4 linked regions of the Nothobranchius furzeri genome follow. The protein of the gene in region 3 purifies or fractionates together with the protein of the main gene of each other region. This does not show direct contact. Links are inferred from orthologs where the notes say so. Each region holds a gene or a part of one and is shown on either strand. Other genes may lie near its edges. The genes, in order: nufip2, rtraf, fam98a and atxn2l.

Evidence for each region.
Region 1: the proteins of fam98a (region 3) and nufip2 purify together in Homo sapiens (co-immunoprecipitation; 3 studies listed by BioGRID and IntAct, with this or other methods). This does not show direct contact. The link is inferred for Nothobranchius furzeri from reciprocal best matches to the Homo sapiens genes FAM98A and NUFIP2.
Region 2: the proteins of fam98a (region 3) and rtraf purify together in Homo sapiens (affinity purification with mass spectrometry; 4 studies listed by BioGRID and IntAct, with this or other methods). This does not show direct contact. The link is inferred for Nothobranchius furzeri from reciprocal best matches to the Homo sapiens genes FAM98A and RTRAF.
Region 4: the proteins of fam98a (region 3) and atxn2l purify together in Homo sapiens (co-immunoprecipitation; 3 studies listed by BioGRID and IntAct, with this or other methods). This does not show direct contact. The link is inferred for Nothobranchius furzeri from reciprocal best matches to the Homo sapiens genes FAM98A and ATXN2L.

The regions. Positions count from the first base shown.
Region 1 is NC_091750.1:49,401,825-49,407,295, reverse strand, and holds the start of nufip2 (FMR1-interacting protein NUFIP2), read right to left. Parts: upstream 3,590-5,471; 5' UTR 3,494-3,589; coding exon 3,346-3,493; intron 3,139-3,345; exon of another isoform or gene 3,003-3,138; intron 2,590-3,002; exon of another isoform or gene 2,454-2,589; intron 2,050-2,453; coding exon 418-2,049; intron 52-417; coding exon 19-51; intron 1-18. UniProt on the Homo sapiens protein: Binds RNA.
Region 2 is NC_091754.1:55,850,455-55,855,735, reverse strand, and holds rtraf (RNA transcription, translation and transport factor protein), read right to left. Parts: upstream 3,568-5,281; 5' UTR 3,446-3,567; coding exon 3,385-3,445; intron 2,975-3,384; coding exon 2,850-2,974; intron 2,688-2,849; coding exon 2,588-2,687; intron 2,370-2,587; coding exon 2,289-2,369; intron 2,203-2,288; coding exon 2,114-2,202; intron 2,030-2,113; coding exon 1,961-2,029; intron 643-1,960; coding exon 594-642; intron 515-593; coding exon 360-514; 3' UTR 121-359; downstream 1-120. Other genes in the region: histone deacetylase complex subunit SAP18, read right to left, coding at 4,364-4,520, 4,618-4,740, 4,815-4,924. UniProt on the Homo sapiens protein: RNA-binding protein involved in modulation of mRNA transcription by Polymerase II. Component of the tRNA-splicing ligase complex and is required for tRNA ligation.
Region 3 is NW_027223037.1:4,130,973-4,136,282, reverse strand, and holds the start of fam98a (protein FAM98A), read right to left. Parts: upstream 3,226-5,310; 5' UTR 3,107-3,225; coding exon 3,069-3,106; intron 2,616-3,068; coding exon 2,467-2,615; intron 1,478-2,466; coding exon 1,343-1,477; intron 1-1,342. UniProt on the Homo sapiens protein: Positively stimulates PRMT1-induced protein arginine methylation. Involved in skeletal homeostasis. Positively regulates lysosome peripheral distribution and ruffled border formation in osteoclasts.
Region 4 is NC_091756.1:34,765,869-34,770,562, forward strand, and holds part of atxn2l (ataxin-2-like protein), read right to left. Parts: intron 3,873-4,694; coding exon 3,445-3,872; intron 3,373-3,444; coding exon 3,286-3,372; intron 3,197-3,285; coding exon 3,083-3,196; intron 2,986-3,082; coding exon 2,905-2,985; intron 2,788-2,904; coding exon 2,726-2,787; intron 1,757-2,725; coding exon 1,407-1,756; intron 1,315-1,406; coding exon 1,245-1,314; intron 1,148-1,244; coding exon 1,013-1,147; intron 928-1,012; coding exon 864-927; intron 706-863; coding exon 524-705; intron 428-523; coding exon 289-427; intron 206-288; coding exon 96-205; intron 1-95. UniProt on the Homo sapiens protein: Involved in the regulation of stress granule and P-body formation.

The sequences.
Region 1 (5,471 bases), on a different chromosome or scaffold from region 3:
TTAAAACGGTTTATTTACCTTGTTTTTGCACGTTAAAAATGGATTCCATTTCTGTTTGAGGGAGAAAAACGGAAATGTGTTAATTCAGCATCTCTGGTGTGTTCTCTGGTTTCCTCTAGTTAAAAACTTGGCAAGTTGACAAAATGTTCAAATGCAATTTTAAAAAAAAACCATCATGTTATAAAGTCATGCTTAAGTTTAAAACGTTGCTAGTTGAAGTTGGAGTTTAAAGGTCACTCGGGCTGTAAACCAACTTCTAGGAAATCTAACCAACACACTCGGCTGTCACACGAGGAAAGCTTGGAAAATAACAGCAAACTGGGGTTAGTTTAGTTGGCACACACACCAGTTATTACCCATTCACAGGACGCCATATTGTCACCAATATGTTTTACAGATAGAAGCGGACACCGTTACCTTTAGTGTGATAGGCGACAGCAGCTTTAATGTCAGAGGGCCCCCAGCTACACCTCCTGCTAGCGTCGTTCGGGTGGACCACTTCTTTAGAAGAGCCAAACAGCACAGTGGTCTGCTGGCCCTGAACAGGCTTAGCACCATTGTCTTTACAAAGAGCCGAGACAGAAGAACCTTTGATCTCAAACTTCGTTTTGTCCTGGCCAAATGGCGGGAACTTTGTCTCCTCCTCAAAAGCAGGAGAACGAGCGTTTGACGCTTGGCAAGGGGCACAAGTCCTTCTCTCAGAGTCTTTGAACAAAGTTCCAGGCTCTACAAATATTGGGCTAACATCAAAACACGGCAGGACCACCTTGTCTTCAACAGTCTGACTCTCACTTGGAGAAGTCCCAGAAGTCTGGTCCTCAGCAGGAGGATGCCCGTTTCCTCCCTCCAGCCCCAGGTTGGGCTCGTTGATGAAAGAGAGCCCCCACTGATTCTGGAAGATGTCTCCCAGGGCTTTCTGATTTGTCTTAGCAGCCGGTGGGTCGAGGTGACGAGCACTAGGGAGCACAGGTTGCATATTTAAAGGGTAGATTAACAGAGTACACTTTTTAAGCTCGTTAGCGTCTCCATCTACAGGACTTGTTGAGCTACAGTTACTTTCCAGAGAAGATGCTACATTCTCGCCACTTGGGACAGACAGGGCTGATTGAATACAACTAGCAGCAGGAACGAAGAAGGTGCCAGCAGACGGGCAGCCGTTTCCATTTCCAGAAACAGGACCATTAGTAAAGCTAGCTGAGGTGATAGTTTTCATAGCAGACATCGGGACTTGAGACAGTCTCATGGGAGGAGGAACCACTTCTCCACTTTGAGCTACTTTATTGAGGTTCTCTTTTACTTTACTTGCATAACTGATCTTAGGAACGATTTTAGCACTGCTATTGTCCACAGGAAATACGGGAGGGGGCTTGAACAAAGTCCACGGGTCCTCCTTTGAAGGAGAGGAGAGTTTGCCTTTGTGCCGTTCCTCTGTTTTCTTACCAAAGGTGCCAGCTGTTTTGCCATCGGAGTTTTTCCTTTGAGATTCCCCCACTGTAGTCTCGGGAACGACAGCTCGTTTGGCAGCAGACTGGGTAGATCTGCCTTTCTCAGTCGCCTCAGGATTCAAAGCCCCCAGCTCCTGTGTAGTGTTGCGGGGCTGCATGTCTCTCTCTTTTTCTTTTGTCACATTATCAGTGTTCTTGGCATTGTTACACCTGGTCTTGCGTTTCTTCGGAGTGGTGTACCCGCCTTCGGATCCGCTGCCATCATTGTCCCTGCTAGAATAGCCATTTGTAATGAAGCCACAATTTACGACACCGTTGTGAAGCAAAACAGAGTCTTTCTTATCCAAGCTCTGGAGGTCATCGTGAGTCAAATCCAGAGTCTTTTCCTTGTCATTTTTAAAGTCCATATTCTTCTTACGGTCCAGAAATTTGCTGCTCGCTTTTGGAGCAGGCGTGTAGAGCTTCTGCGCCCCTTTTTGCTTTAGACTGGCGTTGTGCGCATGTTTGTTACCATTGCCGTGGGAAGGAAGCGACATACCAACAGGATCAGACAGACGTAGATTCCTCTCTCCTTCCTCGTCGCCAACGTTTAATTTTTTATTGCCTAAAAAAAAAAGGAAAGAAAATAAGACGATGTGGAAATGATAGGACTCTACAGACACCACAAAATCTAACAACTATACGTTTATGGTTTGCAGTTTCTTGGAAAGTGATGTTTTAAGATTAGCCAAACACTTATTATGCTACAATTATCACAATGTATTAATGGCACACCGCATAGGAAAGGTGGATGGATACAGGAAGCACAGATTTACAGTGAAGCATCATGACTAGGCCTCTGAAGGCTCAGATTCGTGGGAAGTGCTGTGTCAACGTGGGACTTCCTACTCCACAGTGCTTCTCCACCCCAGTAACATTTATTGGCACAACACACCTCACATTCCTGTCACAGCCAAAACAATTAGTTTCATTTAGCAAATGTACATTTTACAGCGACTGTCAGCTTACGTTCGCTTAATGCTGACAGAGCCTGATCAGCTGCGTGGCTTCTCCAGACAACATTCAAAAGGGCCTGTCAAATGGCTAATGTCTGCTAATATCGCCTAGCTAGTAGCGGACAACGATAACACCACAGTACCGGTCGACAATGACGCGTAAAAAAACGTCCACCGTGTCGTTGTTGTCCATATTTTCCTAACTAGCCGGTTAGTGTTGCGTTAGCTAACTGTGATATTCTGACATGGCCGACCGGAAATGGCTGCACAGAACATTCCAGCGGAGCCGGCTCGGTTTCCTACACTGCACAGAGCTAACTGGAATAACATCAGTACAATTTAGGCCACTGTTACAGAAGAGTTGTTTTGTTTAGAATACAGAGGGACATAAGCGGTGTTTTAGAACATATTCAGCTACATAAGCCATTTAAAATTAGGCGGTGAAACCGGTGTTGTGCCGAAAAAAAGCGCCCCTGCCATCACTAGCACTCTTAGCGCAGAAAGCTAATCCCAAGGTATGTTCTTTTACCAATACACCGAGTAAAAGTTACAAATGACATACCTCCTCGTGTTTTTCTGGACCGCTGAGGACACAAGTATCTACATTTATATTAGAAAAATTAATAAAGGGTTCTTTTTTTCGGCACGGCACCGGCGCACAAGGTCAATCTGCGATCTGTCAAACCACCAGCAGCGACAACGCTCACGCAACGTCAGCAGATAGCGAGTATAATGTGTGGTTTCTCGTGTGACACTGGCTGACTATCTGTCTGATTAACCAGCTGCTCCGCCCGTCCTCAAAACTATTCGGGGCAGCAGCTAGGAGCTAGCTGGCTCCCAGTTACGTTAGCTAGCGAATGCTAGTCGGCTCATTGACATTAGCCGACTTTTCAGGGCGGCCCGACCTGTTTTCTTCGTCTGCGTTTCCTGATGCTGGCACTGGAAGTGGCTCTGATCATTTTTCAGACAAGCTGTGCGTTGAGTAGAGTTCCTGTCCTCCCCGTGGTGGTGGTAGTGCCTGTCTTGTGCCCGATCTTTGGGCTGTTCCTCCATTGAAGTGAAGAATGTCGGACGCGTTCCGCCTGTGTGTTATTAGCTCTCAGTCCAATCACTACCAGAGTCAAACGGAAGCTATTTGAAGCCTCTGTAAACGTCAGCAGTAAAATGTCTAAAAATGGCCCTGTTTTGGGTGGTCACTCCTCTGAAACCCACCTTTAGAATCAACTCCTAGGTGCTTAAAGAGTATTTCATAAGACTTTAAAATGTGCGCACACGTAGAAGTTTAGGATAACACGGGAGTGATTTCAAATTATATATATATATATATATATATATATATATATATATATATATATATATATATATATATATATATATATATATGGAGTGTGAAATAACGGGGTGGGGTTCGTGGAAGAGCCTAAATCATATGACCCGAGGCGCTGCCACGTCTCCAGCTAGTTGACACATTAGGGTCACAAGAGACCAGCCCCCTCCAAAAATGGAAAAGCAGTTAATTTATTTGCGTTATACAAAATTTTCTTGCTGCTGCCTAATGCATATATGATCAGCTTATTATAAGAAAAATTGACGTGTTTGTAAAATCATGCACATTTTTATTTTTACATGCTTTACCTGGCTGGAATCACACAGAGCCACATTTAAGGAATAAAAACACTGATTATTTGATAGACAGCATATCAATATTATTTATGTATTGCTTTGATTTATTCAACGGTAATTATGAAATAATAATAATAATAATAATAATTATTATTATTATTATTATTATTATTATTATTATTATATTTTTGTTGTCTTGTGGTAGTTGTAATAATTAAATAGTCGCGCCAGTGACTCCCTCTAGCGGCTAAACATATAATTTTCTAATCTCGCTTTAGAGCAGGAAAGGAAACACAAGGACAAATGAATCACCTAACTTCACCATTGTCTCTGGACTCAGAATAAAACCCACACGTATATAATTTAGCTCTACCATTTCTTTCTTTTTTCAACATGTCTCAACTGATGTCTGAAAACTGTGAAAGTTAAGTATCTATAGTAAAATAGACCACGCCTGTTTTAGCCTGACACTTTTTGCTGATATGTGCAGCCCTACTTCACCTTTAAAATGTGCACGTGACTGCTACTTTGACATAAAATATTCATATGACTGCTTCATTTAAAGGCAGGTTTTATTTTTTAAACGACAGGTTTTAGTGAAAGGGTTCTCTCCAGGGCACAGACATGCAGTATCTTTAAAATAAAAACGGTGTTCTGGCAGATATCGAGGGGTTTAAGATGCATTTTCTGCTGTGATATTTTTATTAACTCAGAGAAAAAGTTTTAGTGAAATTTTAGATTAGAAAGGAATTCATGGAAGTGTGGATTTAGTGTAAAGCACCTAAAAAGCATGTTAATATTTCTGACTAACAGCTTATTCTGACTGAAAATTAAAACATTAAAAGTACTAAAGCATTCGTATTTATTTTAATCCATTTCTTAGTTTTAGATGTATCAACAAATTTTAGGGAAGTAATTTGTTTAGCACTTTAAGTTTCACACAAAAAAAGGAATTAGATTTTTTTTTGTATCCTTTATTTATTTTCAGCAGTTAGGTTGTAATGAAATGTAAATTTGGTAAAACGTTACAATAAGGATCCATTTATTAAGTTACGTAGTGCATTATTAAGCTTTAATAAACTATTATTCAAAGTATTACAGCTTTAACCATATTATGTAATGCACTACTAAGCAGTCAGCCTCTAAGAAATGATAAAGAAATAATGTGTGGATAAAATAAAAATGCAAGTTTGAAGTCAGTCACCTTACTACCAGTCTTACTCCACCCACACTTCCTGTTATAATAATAATAATAATAATAATAATAATAATAATAATGCATTGAACTTATATAGCGCTTTTCAAAACCCCCAAAGACGCTTTCACACACTCTCACATTCACACACTGCTAGTGATGGTAAGCTACTTGTAGCCACAGCCGCCCTGGGGAGGTCTGACAGAGGCGAGG
Region 2 (5,281 bases), on a different chromosome or scaffold from region 3:
CAGTCAAAGTCAAACTCCTGAACCAAATTCTTTTTTCCATCCAGAATAAAACCAATCACAGAAACCCCAGAATCAGGAAGTCGATTAAGTCTGGCACAAAGTAAATAAGCAAAATTAATATTTACCGACTCAAAATAATCGTTTTATTCCCGCTGTGGAGAAAAACACCAGCTCAACAGTATCCACCTCACCGCTTCCTGCTGAACAACAAGCGGTAAATGAACATCTGACCCTGGATGTTTAAAACTGATGCAACAACAGAATCATTTATGTCCCTTTAACCATCCCAGCAAACAAGAAGGGCCTTTGTTCTCAAAATTAAATAAAAATAAAATCTCCATCAGTCCTTTGCTTCCTCCTCATCTGCCGACCTTGCCCAGCCTGTGGTCCGTCTTTGGGTCGGCTATGATGGCCTGAACGGCGACGATGGCCTCGTTGATCTTTGTCTGCAGCTCTCGTAGCTCCTCGATGTGCAGCAGGCGCAGGATCTGGGCCGCCTCGTTCAGGGTCGCATCTGAGGTCGGAGAACCACGGAGGTCAGTTTTTCTCTTCTACACCGATGGGTGTTGTGGTAGCCAAACACAAAAACTCACCTCCAGTGTCAAAACCCAAAACGTGTTTGTCTAAAGCCACCGGGACTCCCTGGGGACAAAAGAGAAAGTATGAAGCTTAAAGATCAGAATCACAAGCTGAAGGTGATCCAGAACAAAATGTTTTCTTTCAGATTTACTGATCATCGATTTAAATGAAACAACATGGGCTAAGAAAATAAATAAATAAAGACTTCACGTGACATTTTTATAGTGTGTACACTCAAAAAAAATCATAGAACAGCTCAGGACTTCTGAAGAGTGTTTCTGGTTAAATGTCGTCTAGTTGTTGTGGAAAGGCCTTTGAAAACCCTCAGTTTAGAGAAATGGAGATTAGCTAATTGTGACAAGCTAGCAGCTAGTCAAAATGAGGCTAATTATAAAATGTCTTAAAATAACTACAATCTCTAAATCATGCAAATACTTTTTTACAATTAATACTGTCATAAATGTCATGTTTTGTAGTTAATCTAGCACAGTGGTTCTCAATTAGTGAGGCGGGGCGGCTTGAGAGTCCACGTAAGTAGAAGCCATATTCAACACGTACCTTGACATCACTGAAAAGAATTGAGGACAACTGTTTAAGCAGAAATATTATGAAAAGCCAGCCAGAAGCACCATGTGTGTAAATAATAGGGGTGTGTATTGGTGAAATTACGGCGATACGATACACATCATGATACAGGGAAGACGATACAATACATCACGATATATTGCGATACATTCGATATTAACGACTTTTTTTAGACTGAATTTATCATAGTGAAATTCAACAAACAATCCAAACCGATACTAACATGTTTAACATGAGGTATCTGAACCATAATGGAGGGATTTGCATTTCAACGGTGGAAACAAAACCCACTGGCACACTGCTGCCAACTAGTGATCGGCGTTTGAATTGCACCAAAAGAAATGAAAATACACAAATGTTTGTATGTAAATTCTTCCAAAAATTAGATACACTGCTTTTGAATATCGATATATCGCAGAAAACTATACCGCAATATATTGCGATATCGATATTTTCGATACACCACTTTTGAAAATCGATATATCACTGAAAAAAATATCACGATATATTGCCATATCAATATTTTCTGACAACCCTAGTAAATTATTATTATTATTATTTAATAACTGATATATTTTTAACTAGAGCGTTTTAAAAATTGCAAACTCTTTCTCCAAACTGAGGCCATTCAAAGAACTCCCTACAGCTGGTAAGATACTAACTGTTCACAGAAACACAGAAAAATGTTTAACGTTATCTTCAAGACTAATAAGGTCATTTTCTTGACCATTTTAGCTAATTCTACCATTTCTGTTTAATTGACTAGTTTGTTGCTGTTTTACAGTGTAACGTGTACCTCTCTGTTCTGGTTGGCTTTTGTGATGGCCTCTGGTGAAAGTCTCTCCTGGATCAGGATGCGGATAGCCTGCCGAGTGAAAACATTAGGAAACGTCACAAAGTAAACAACTTGAGCACATTCAGGGATGATGTAGACACGCATACAGCTCACCTTGAGCATGACCAGGTAATCGTCGTGTCGTTGGATCTTTAGAATGTTCGCCAGAGCGGTGACTCCTGCTTTAAAATCTGGAGAACTGCCTGAAATGTATTTATTTTTTATTAGACCTTTAGGTGATGAATGAAACGTTAAAAGGTAGTAACAGCAAAGATGTGTTCCTGCTTACTGTCCAGGTTGATGAGAGGATCCACGGCTCTGTCGCCGTTCCCCGAAGCGGCCAGCGGCGGGCAGTTTTTATACTTATCAACTACAAAACAAAACACCCAGAATAAGGAAAAAACGCCATCATATAATAACCTAATTATAATTCAGCTTTCTATGCGTGTTGGCATTATTTCCTTTGTTATGGCCCCCTCTATTGGTCGTGGTCGGTATTTCAACCATTGACACGCCACATCAAAGCTGTGATTTCTGAATAAATATCATTTTAGGAGGTTTTTACAGATAAACGATCACATCAGATACCGTTGTCTCCATATTCATAACGCACAGCCAGCCCCAGTAACCAGTCCAAAGCCTCCTTACGCTCCTGGACTCCAAATGGACAGGTCAGGTCCTGCAGGTACTACACACACACACACACACACACACACACACACACACACACACACACACACACACACACACACACACACACACGCACGCACACGCGCACACACACACACACACACACACGTAAGCTCTAGTTGGGACTCTTGTTAGGAGATAAGCTCTGAGATAGTCTCACCTTCTCATAGGCTTTGGGCCACTCAGAGCTGGGGATGTTCCTAAGGTTGCCCCGGTCTTCGATCTTGTAGTGTCGGATCTTCTGGTCCTCCAGCCACACGATGCAGTTTCTGAAGTGAGTTTCATCTGACAAAAGCGGATGCGTCACTATTTTACTGGTTTTATGAAAACACATAATTTTTTTAATCACCATCTGCTGTTATACACTCTGATAATTAGTGAAGCAAAGGAGTCCAGCTGTTTAACTGATAAATATAGCCCAATGAGACACACGGTCATCGTTTAGTCTGCTAGACTAGCAAAATACATCCCTAGAAATGAAGCTATCTTACAAATATTAATGCCGAATACACATGTGGTGTGTTTTTGATTGATTTATGAAGATATTAAAGCTGATAAAACACGTGTGCTACTAAAACTGAGCACAACCTTAAAATAGTCTATTTGTAGCGTTTAGTTCGCCGCCTCAGGACTTCGTGCTAACTTGGTTCCATTAAAACTCACCGAACCTCCTAAACAGCCTGTTTATTGCTTACCTGAGCAGTCGAACCCGCTGGGATCGTGATAATCTAGAGCTGTTAGTTTTCTGCGAAACATTTCACGAAGTTTTAATGTGAAACCCTTCGTTGTTTCTAAATAATTAAACCTTAAATGACCACTACGTTGCTAGCTCAGTGTGCGGCAGCGCGCATGCGTTGTCGGAGTTGAGTATTTCCGGTTGTGCTTTCCAAAATAAGAGCTAACAACGAATTCACATCTGAAACAAGTGTCTTATTACGTCACAGGATGGATGCTACTCTGAAGGAACGAACTGGTTTAGTAAAGGAAGTGTATGGAGAGGCCAGGAAAAAGGGGACCTTTGCCATTGTCTCTTTTTCAAATACCCACATTTGAGTTTGTTGAAGCATACGTCCATTACTTTAAGCTTGTAGACACCAAAGAGCTTGAAATAACGTTATCCGTGGTCTATCTTTTTCTTTAAAATGACTTAATACCAGCTCAGTGGTCTAGTGGTAGTGTGTCCGCCCTGTCTGGAATTCGGGGTTCAAATCCCAGTCGTGTCACACCAAAGACTTTAAGAATGGGACCCAATGCCTCCTTGCTTGACACTCAACTTTAAAATGGTTGGATTGGGGGTTAAACCACCAACTGGTTCCTGAGCACAGCCATAATTACAGCTCACCCATCCCTATGGCGATGGGTCAAATGTGGAGATGGCACCTTAACTTAAATACATAGTTTATATAACGAAACAGAGAAGTCTCTATACAAATTTGCAAAAAAAAAAAAAAAAAAAACTTTTTAAATTAAGGATTATCATTCAAGTGAGTTTGGTATGTTTGATCAAAACTGGTCTGTTTTTGCAAATTAACTCTTCACAAACACACATTATTGATATTAACTACTCAACAACAGTCTATAGGGAAAAAACAGCTTTATTAAACATGAAGAATTATAAAATGAGGCTAAACTACTCAAGAGAACCCAAAAACAGATGTATCGCTTCATGTGCGTTCAGAAGGGCCTCATGCGTTGGTTGAGGGGCGGGGCTCTGTTGGGCGGTGTGATGGCTATGTCCAAATAGTCTCCAATCTGGAACCGCTGGGACTGCAGCGTCATGGAGTCTTCCAAACCCTTCCTGCCAGACATGGTACTGCCGATCTCTTTTAACCTGAACATTGTAAAAAGAGATGCACAAACTCAGTCCACAGGAATTCATGAACAATAGTATGATTTTACGACCCCGATCTGTGTTGCTCGACACTTACTTGTACATTTTCCCTCTGGGTTCTGGATAGACTATGGCAAAGCTGAAGTGGGTCCCCTTTTTCCTGGCCTCTGGATACACTTCCTTCACTAAACCAGTTAGTTCCTTCAGAGTAGCATCCATCCTGTGATGTAAACAAACACTTGTTTCAGAGGTTCTGTAGCATATACCAGAAACGTAATGGTTTGTAAGTCTTACCAAGTGTAGATTTGCAACTCGCTGGAAGGAACGTTCCCTCTAGAAAATTCCTCTATTCTGTGGTGTCGGCCACTGTTGGTAGTAAATACTCTCAGGAGGAGGGGGCAGGTCTGAAGGAAACAAGAAAACTAAGTTAAACATAAGCAAAAGTACAAATAAATATCACATTCTTTACATGTGATTTAAATATATGAACACATTTAGAATAACTGATGTAAATGTCAGTGTTATTTCAATGATTCAACTGGATTTTTTTTTTACATAAACCTTATTTTGAAAGTTTTCATCAGGGCAAAGTGAGTTCCGAAGTGAGTCTTCGCTGCCCCCTGGTGGCCGTAATAAGTACCTACAGCTGATAGAAAGAAATGGCTTTTTAAGATTGCCATCTGGTTCCTGATTAAGAAATTTAGTGAACTTTTCTGCAACCTTTTAATGCACATGTGGGAAAAATGTTTTTATTAGGCTGA
Region 3 (5,310 bases):
TTCATTTAGACTTATGGCTGCAGTTCACCCTTTAGCATCACAGTTTCTGGCCGAGGGAAAATCCTTCAGCCAGCAGAAAAACCAATAAATGCTCCAGATAATAAAATGTAGCCGAGGAGCAACGCAGAGCTAGCTGGGAAGCACCAATTCCTTAAAAACAGGAAGGAATTATGCTGTAAGTCAGCTCCTTGTGAGAAACGCCACACCTGCAGAAATCAGAGAAGACCAGGAGGAGGAACCTAGCGAAGAATAAAACATCAACACTTTAACTTCTGGGGCGACGGCAGCACAGGAGTTAAGAGCTCGCCCTGTAATCAGAAGGCTGCAGGTTCGAGTCCCGCTCACTCTGTTGTTGTGTCCTTGGGCAAGACACTTAACCCACTTGCCTGCTGGTGGTGGTCGCAAGGACCGGTAGCGCCTCTGTCAGTGCGCCCCGTGGCAGCTGTGGCTACACCGTAGCTCATCCCCACCAGCGTGTGAAATGGGTTGTAAAGCACCTTGGGGGGTTCCAGGACTCTAGAAGGCGCTGTATCAAATACAGACCATTTACCACTTATAAAGACGACTGGCTTTGTTCATCATTCCAACTCAAACTAGGAGATTAAGCTGCAATCCGGAGTTTCCCCCTTTCAGGAATTATGTATGATTGTTTAGAACTCCGTAAAAGGGAAAGTCTGACCCCGTTCTGTGAAGACAATATGTCATTTTAATTTTTGCTAGGCCCGTCCCCCATCCTGCAGATCATGACCTAGGTGCTGTTCAGCATTAGCCAGCAGCGATAGACATACGCTTACGTACAGATGTCCATCACAGACAGAGCACGAGCGTTGAAAGACGTACCTACACTGATGCAGAGCTGCCAACGTTCTTCCTTGACCAACAAGTCTTTGAAACATGTTTGAGAGCAAAATGTGAAAATAGTGACTAAACCGTGTTTTAGCTCCGTTGGCCGGGTAGAGATGCGCGCTGCCGGAGGAGAGGCGTTGCTTTCAGCCATAATACACATTAGGTGGAGAAGGCTCCTGGTGTGATACAGTTTTCAACCTCTAGATGGTGCAGTCAGATAAAGAAATATTGATAAGCTGAGCTTGTCTAGAGAAGACATCCAACACGGTGGTAACAGAGAAAAGATTAATTTTACACCAGAAAATGTTAAAAGCAAGTTTTAACTGAGATTTTCTGAAACAGTTCACCATAATAGTTATGTCAGCAGGTCACATGACCTGAGGGTGGACACAGGTGGGCGTGGCACCAACACATGGAGTGAGTTTAACTCCTTAACTCGGGTGTAAAGGTAGAAAAACGTCTGTTGTATTCGGACCAGATGTTATAAGGTTCATACTGAGGAGCAGCAGAGAGTCGATCCTCCTGAGGAACCTCTGGGTGATGTCTCCACTGGTGAGGACGGCGTAAGGACAGGCGAGCTCTGACAAAAGACCGCTCATCTCCAGTTGGAAGCCCTCTGCCTCGCTTGGACCTGCAGCAAGTAGAAGGTCAACACCACAGTTTAGTTCAAACAGGAAGCTGACTCAGGGTAAGATTAACCATTAATATCCACTCTTCATTTCCCAGGACGGAAAAGTTATTAAACCCATTTTTCTCTCTTCCAAACAGGCAAATGTTACCCATGAGCTAAAATCTTGACATACATCCACCCAGAAGAAGCAGACGATTCTAGAATGTCTCAGCTCGATGAAGTCAAGGCCGATTTCCTTCAGTGATCATGATGACCAACTCCCATCTGCTCCACTCAGATCACAGGAAAGAGGTTCTGATGTTCAGGAACATCAAGGCTGAAGTCTACCATGAACTAGAACATGCTGGAACACCAGAGTCTCCGTCCACAGGGAAGCCAGTTACACACAATATGGAGACCAAGGCAAAAGCTTCTGCTCCGGAAGGGCCGCCCTCGAGCTGGACTGGAATCTGCTGCTGTCCATATGGACGAGAAAAATGTCTTCCGGATAAAGGTTCTAGGTTCGAATTAGATGAAGATTGAGCTGTTTTGCCACAATGAGAAGATGGATGTACCAACTGTCAAGCATGGAGGCGGAGGTATCATGTTGTGGTTTTAGTGCACAAAAGAGGAGAGGGAGGACCACCCCCGGATTCTTCAACTTCACCTGAATGGTTGAAACATGGACCCAGTTGGGTCTTCAATTAGAATGATGACCCTCCAGGATATCCAACATGACCTCCTTGCCCTGTAGCACCCGATCAGAGGATGGGTGGGCGTGGTTAAAGTGACAGAGCCCTGAAATGATTCTATCTGAAAGGTACTGAGACTGTCAAGAATATAACAGCTGAAATGTGAGACCAGAGAGCTGACATGATGAAGAGGTTTAAAATACCCAATTAAACAAAACATTGGTGGGGTGTTTGTAGGTAGTTAAGCCAGTTTTTTATCAGTTTGACTCTGTGTGGAAGAGAGAATCCACAATCCATCAGGATTAAAAGCCATCTTACAGTTGGTGGCGTGGACGTTCTCCTCCAGTCTGAGGTAGAGCCTCAGCTCTGAGACGATCCAGGCACAAAGCTTAGTGAACTCTGGAGAGGCTGCTCCTCCAGAGGCGGCAGAATCCAGAGCTCCGTCCTCCAACAGGGGGCCTTGGTACCTACACACCAACCCAACACACACACACACACACACACACACACACACACACACACACACACACACACACACACACCAGCGCCTAAATGTCTGAGATGATTTGATGTTGAACCAGACTCTTCCGGGCTCATTCCAGCTCGCTAGCATCCACATTAACACTCAATGCTCCTCTCAGACCCGGTTTTCCAGAACCGGATCCTCCCGAGCTGACAGACAGCCGTCAGGTTTGGTTTGTGCTGACACAGCTGGCTGCATATGCCACGTAAAACCCGGTTTTCAGCTCTGTTTCCACCGGGACGGAGGCAATTAATCACAGTTATAGCAAACGGACGAGCAGCTCGTTTTAGCTAAAGAAAGATCCCGCTGACCGACAGACTAGCTAAAACCGGATATACGGGTGGGCGCGGGTCTCTGGAAACTGACGGCGGAGGTAAAAGTTGTTTTTGTTGCTCACCCCAAATCCTCCAGAGACACGAGGACGTCATTCTCCATCTAAACGATCTGCGTCAAATAACTACGAGTGAAAAACAGATTTTACATCCAACTCAGCTGATACACGTTTGGGTTTTTTTCCTGTTCTTGTTCTTCTTCTACGTTTGTTAGCAGCAGGGAGCCACACTGAAGCGCCAGTACCGCCACCAAGCGGTTGGGAGCGTAAACATGGGCCAGTACTGTCAAACCAAAATCCGTTTGTTCAGGCCATATTTATATGTCGATGGTTCAGGCCTGAAATGATGTTCCACTTCCTCTTTCATCTGCACAGTACTGGTAAATAAAAAAGGTTAAAAAGAAAATAAATGTATTGAAAAGTTTTAAAGTATACGTATAGATACAAGCATAGGCGTCATTTTAACCGGGGACGCCGGGGACATGTCCCCGGCAAAATTTGTGATTGGCAGCTGTGTCCCCCCCACTTTCAAAAATGCCTGCTGATGAGGATTTTTGTTTTACCAGCTCAGATCTTATACCAGGGGTCGGCAACCTGTTCCCATCAAAGAGCCATTATTACCCGTTTCCCATGGTAATTTTGGACGGACCTTAATAAGCAGTGACTTAAGTGAAGCAGGCGTAGAAAATTTAGTTTAAAAAGACGTCATAAATGTGTTCCCCCATCCTTTTTATTTATAAAATATGAAGTAAAAACTCACAATTTAATTTTCATTTGTCATTAATATTTAGTCTACACCCGTGCGTTAAGTGGACCATCTTCCAGTAAAAGCAAAGCGTCCAGCCCACCTCTCCAAATGCGTAAAATGTGCATCAGCCGCTAGTTAGGCGCGACGCGCGCACCGTCAGCTACATCAGCCCAGACAAGAGCAGAGCAAATAGAGAAAGAATAGAGGATAATTGTGTCTGGATGTGGATGGAGATTACATTTTACAGCAGCCTGATCATCATTTAAATACATAACCCATCACCTGTCTTCTAGTCCATGCTATCAGCATTATTTTAATTGTTGTGTGTGTGTGTGTGTGTGTGTGTGTGTGTGTGTGTGTGTGTGTGTGTGTGTGTGTGTGTGTGTGTGTGTGTGTGTGTGTGTGTGTGTGTGTGTGTGTGTTTCCACTTCAAACACTGGTCTAACCAACCAGACCAGCGTGTCCAGTAACATATTAATGTTACAATTAAACAGTTTCACTTCATGTAGGCTAGGAACATTTCACCTGTCGTGGCCCGACCGCTTCTGCTCCACATAAACTTTGTGCGTGATCAAATGTCTCTACGCGTCATGCGTCTCCATATTAGAGACGGGAACAAGCGCTGTTCAGCCAAAGTTTCATAATTTCATAAAAAGAACATTTTTCCAAGTGACACATCCCTCAGAGAGACCGGGTTTCCAGACTGTTTCAGTGGGAGGAAATCTTATCGCATGCGCCGTGGTGCTGCACTGCGCTGCGAACCCCAGATCTTCAGCTCACTGTCCACCGTGGGCGCTCGGAGCCACGCTGAACACAGTGTCCAGTATAAAGCTCTGATGTTCTGATGGGAATATTTTACCTCCGCGATGTGCGTTAACGATTAAAATGTCAGCTCATCCATGCGCATCAGTGCGCGTCGGGGTAATTCTTTCAAACCAAGCAACATCCTTGAGTTCATCTGTCAAAATAAACAGTCAAATGGAAATATATGTAACCTGCCGTTTAACTGTTTTGCCTTCCTGTGAAGATTGTTGCAAAGAGAAACAATTAAACTTGATTAACCCCAGAGAACCAGAGTGCATGCGGGAAGATTCCTCCCACTGAAGCGAGTGTTTTCCAAACCCTGTCTCTCAGAGAGACTTGTCACTTAGAAAATGTTCCCTGATTATGAAACTTTGGCTGAATAGAGCTCCGGGAGTTGACGTCACTTCTCCCGGGATGCAACAGTTCAAATCGAAACGGCGCCATTTGGCAGGCAGAAGCCGGCAGCTGGACTATTTGTTATTGTCAGAAAACTCAATCAAACGGGAAATATGGTAGATTCCTGTTGTGCCCCAGGATGCAGAACAGACACGGACGACATAAGGGATGAGCCATCTACAGGATTCCCCAAGATCCGGAGCGCCGCAAACGTTGGATCATTGTGATAAAACGTGCTAGTGACCGGATAAAATGAAACTGTGGAATCCCGAGAGTAAAGGTTTTTGCTTATGCAGCGACCGCTTCATATCAGGTACTTAAACCAACGTTTCCTCAACTGTGTATGGTATTTATTTTAAA
Region 4 (4,694 bases), on a different chromosome or scaffold from region 3:
AAACCAGACACACAGAGTGTCCAACTGCATCACCCTTTGCTGTAAAGAATGCAAGTCTGCAGCCTAAACACTTTGGGGGTGGGGAGTGGGGGTACCTGTCCGGGGCTGGGTGCAGCGTGCTGGGGTGGGGGTTGGTTTCCTGTTGGGGTGCTAGAAGGCTGCGGCTGATGAACGGCACCCGAATGATGAGAGAATGACTGAGGGGCTGCAGGTAACGCAGAAACAAGAGGACAGGGTTAAAGATGACTCCATGCTAGGACTGTTATTTTCTAATCCACCACTGCTCACCATAAATGCCCTGCTGTGGTCCCTGGGGCCCATCTCCCTGTGCAGGGAACTGAGGGCCTCCAGGTGGTCCCAGGGCTTGTGGATGACCACCACCTTGACCTAGCATCCTTGCTCCACCCTGGAGCATGGAGTACATGGGCTACGGTGGAGGAGAGATAAAAACCTCATTAGCTAAGAGAAACCCAGATGATGCATTTGGGAGTTTCTGGTAACGGTTTACATCCAGAGTCTCTACCTGTCCAGGGTAGGGCGTCATGGCCTGAATGACCTGCTGCTGGCTGTACTGCTGTGGGTTGTACTGGAGATAAGATGGAGGGTAGGGCGACGCCACCAGAGGAGCTCCGGCTGCTGATGCAGCGGCCTGAAGCATCTGTGGTGCTGTGGCACCATGATCAGAGCGCGTCGCCACGACGGATCCTGGTGAGAGGACAGAATGATCAGAAAAGTGTTTCCTGTGATGAAATAAAGGCAAGAGCAGGTCACGTACAGAGGCCACAAGACAAAGGTCACAGATACAGGAAGATAAGTAATTCAAGAGAAAAAACACAAACTTTGTAAATGGAGAAAAGAATGACCTTTGGCCCTGGCGTATTTTCCTTGGGTGACGGTGGGCATGGTGTACTGGTACATTGGTGGGGGCTGGGGGTGAGAAAAGATGGAATTAATTGTAAACCACTTGCTTTCATCCCACATTGGTAGCAGGAACCATCTTTAGCTAACTTACCTGTACAGTGTGGATCTGAGAGACGTACTGGAGGTAGGGGGCGTTGTAGAGCGGCGCCTGGCCTCCGGGGTGCTGCAGGACCACCGGGCTCGGGGGGGTAGGGCGGGGTGGGGTGGGTGCTGTGTTGGGTTTAGTCTGCGAGATGGAAACGGACTGATCACATCAGCTACAGGGACTGAAGGTAAGGGCATCACACGTGTTTTATTTGAGCAGATCTGAGGAAGTGACTCACCATGGGCATCTGAGGTTTAATGGGGTTGAACTCTTTAGCGTTTGGATTTAAAGTTGATTTCTTCACTTGGCTACGAGACAACAACACTCACGTCAGTAAAAACATGCAGAGAAGAATCAAAAGTCTGAATCATTAGAACCAACAATCCTGTTTAAAACTCACTCTGGCAGACCCTCCGTCCGCTCCGTCGTCTCAGACCGTACATCCTCACTTCCTGGGGTCCTGGCTGGCTGAGGGGTTGCAGGCGACTGCCTGTCTGAAACGAGTGCCGTGGCAGCGGCGGATGCAGAACCCAGCGTGGTTGTTGCGTCCTTGGGTTCGTCCGCAGGAGCCGGCGAATGCTGCAGCTGAGGCTGAGACGGACTGGGAGCTGCAGGCTGAGACTTAGCCTCTGAAGCAGGGTCTGACGATGGAGGCTTGGCTGTGGCCAGCTGGGTGATGTCACCGACAGAGGGAGGTGTTGCTGCTGCAGGAGAAGTGGGAGAACTGGAGCTGCCTCCACTCGGCTGCAGCTGGAAGGCAATCAGAGTTTTCATGACATTATTTGTGTTATTTATGAAGAGTGTTGGCTTTCTCGTTAGGGTTAGAGCCCTCGACGGGTTTCTGATAGAGCTGATTTCAACAACTGATCCGTTTCTCAAGATTTAGAATCAGTTATTGCGATTGGATCCGATATGTCGATTTGGGCCAACGAACTCTTCCCTTTTGCCGTTACCTTAATTACATGACTATGTAGTTGTGTAGTATATTAACACTATTAACATTCAACAACAAATAAATGAAATACTGGCAAGTTAAAACGGCTGCATGGCCCAATAGCAGGATTAGCAAACAGATCCAGGACAGCCAACAGAGGGCGCAACAAGAGTCAATGACTGCATCAATGAACACAAACACAGGGCATCATTACAAATAACACATTAAGAATCATCCAAAAGCTGAAGCTGCACCCACCGCCTTCGCCCCCTCCTCCTCCCCGAGCCTCTTGGTGGGCGACAGTTTTCAAGCTCTAAAAACTCTTCCAACACTTTCAGTACAAACACACCCATAAGTGTTGCTCAGGCTGAAGACGGACATCTCCACTACCTTCTGGTATAAAGCAGGAACTTCATGAGGGACCATAGTTGCAGCTGTTGCTTGTTAAATGTCAGCAATGACATTTGATGCTATTTTGCAACTTTGGCGCTTAAAGGGTTAAACCCATCTTTGGACATACGAATCGATACTCATGAATATTTATGAGAATCTATTTTTTCAACACAGCCCGAGTTTCTGAGTGAGACGTCCCCAGCAGGATGAGGTCTACAGCATTAAAATACTACAAATAAACATCATAGCAGCAGCAGCCCTGCAGGAACAGAAGCTACGGATCCAAAGCTAAAGTTCCAGACTCTCTTTCTCCGACTTCACACGAAACACGTTGGTCTCTCTTCTGATCAGGAATTTATCTATTAACGTCTAACTAAATAAGAAAGACTTACCCTGAATTCTTTGCCAAATTTTCGCAGCTCTTCTATCTGAGACCGCTGCTGGATCGACGGTGCTGATGGAGAGAAGACAAAACAAGAAGCTGAAAATAAACCACAATAATTCACTCCTGGCCTGCAGCTGCTAATGTTGTTGTTTTTGTTTATTTTTGGGTTTGTTCTAAAACACACACCTTTGCTGTTTTTGCCGTCCTCCGTGCTGCTCGGGCTCTCTGCACAGCGCTCTTTTGCAGCTGCACCAAGGATTTCATTCACTGCAATAAGAAAACAATAAAAATCTAATATTTATAGGACTTCATAGATCCCAGCCTTAAATAAACACTAAAGTAAAAGCCCAGTGGGAGACATTACCATCCACAGGGAAGGTTGGGGCAGGGCCAGATGTCTTCTGGGCAGGTAGGGGGACAAGCGAAGCGTCCAAGTAAGACGTGTCCTGGGAGGAGCCTGACTTAGGGGAACGAGTGGCTGCAACAACAGATGGTAACAAATACTCAGATTAAGATCCGGGGCTGAATTCAGCGCTCAAATGATAATAAAGACTGCATGGAGGTTACCTGTGGGCTGAGAGTGTGAGTTTGAAGCGCGGTTCGTCCTGCTGGACTGTGGAGGTCTTTGGGTTTTGGGGGACGTTCTAGTAGAGACTGCAAGGCAGATCATCTGTATGAGCTACATGAAGGAGAACCAGCAGCTCAACCGTCAGACACACGACTCACCTCCATTAACGGGTCTGCCGGTGTCAGACAGCGACAGTGAGTGGGAATGAGGAACTGCGTGTCCATGGGGGGCGGGGGGACTGGATGGGGATGTGGCGGTAGAAGCAGAAGCTGGCGTGGACGCTTGTCCAGGAGAGGCAGGGGTGTACGGGCTTGCAGGACCAGAGCCAGGGCTCGGGCTCCCTTGTGAGTGATGGGGAACGTATGACCCACCTCGACTTGACAGAGGGCTGTTTCTCTCTGAGGGGGAGACCCCAGGCTGGGGGCCAGCACCAGAGGGTAGGGGGGGTCTTGGGGACGATGATGACGAGGGCGCAGGAGTGGAGCGGTGGCATCCACTGAGACGATTGTGTGGAGAAGGTCCACCAGGACCTCGCTCCCGGTTCATCTCTCTCTGACGCTGGGGTAGTGGGATGTACTTTACCTCTCTAAGAGAGAAACAGAGGTCATCAAACAAGCCGACCTGCGGTCCAACCATGAAAACCAGCTGGTGCACAGAAACCCAAAATGAAGCCTAGCTTCCCCTCCTGAATCTGAATACAGCACGTTACAAATCCTCCGCTCCGCAAACGAAGCCAACACCGTTTCCTTTTGCACACCCCTGCATACCAGAGACGTGTCAGAGCCAGGGCTGCAGATGCAACAGTGGCAGGAGCTTTGTTGGTCAGAAGTCGCCTCCCTCCACTTCACACATACTCACCAAATTAGCTGTGACTACCTGGTGTTAGCAGCTCAAAGATGAGTCATTGTCCATCAGCCCCCCCATTCTGGTTTAGCTGTTTCACACCATCCTGACTTCAAAGTGTTGTATAAGGGGGGGGGGGGGGGGGGTAATCAGGTAGATCCTCCCCTCCCCCTAACAGAACAGCTGTGAGTAGTCAGGGCATGGACAAAAACATCTACCAGTGACTACGTTTACATGCAGCCAATATCCGGGTTATGGTCGGGTTAAGGTCGGTATTTGGGTTTGTGAGTTGATCAGAATAACCCGTTTACTAGCATAAATAGAAAGAGTTACCTTTAACTTGCATAACCCGATGTAAATGCGGACGTTGGGGTAGCGTCAGGACGTATGGACTGCGTCCAGACGCAATATGCGTCATTTCCGGTTCTTCTTGATCAGGTATCCGTGAAAACAACAACATGTTTCCCAGTTCGGAAGAGATAGCGACCGCGTTTGTTTGCGCTTTAGTTTCCTCGTCACTCCAAAAGTGTGGTGCTGTGCCGCGACTCGCCATGTTGCTCCCAAC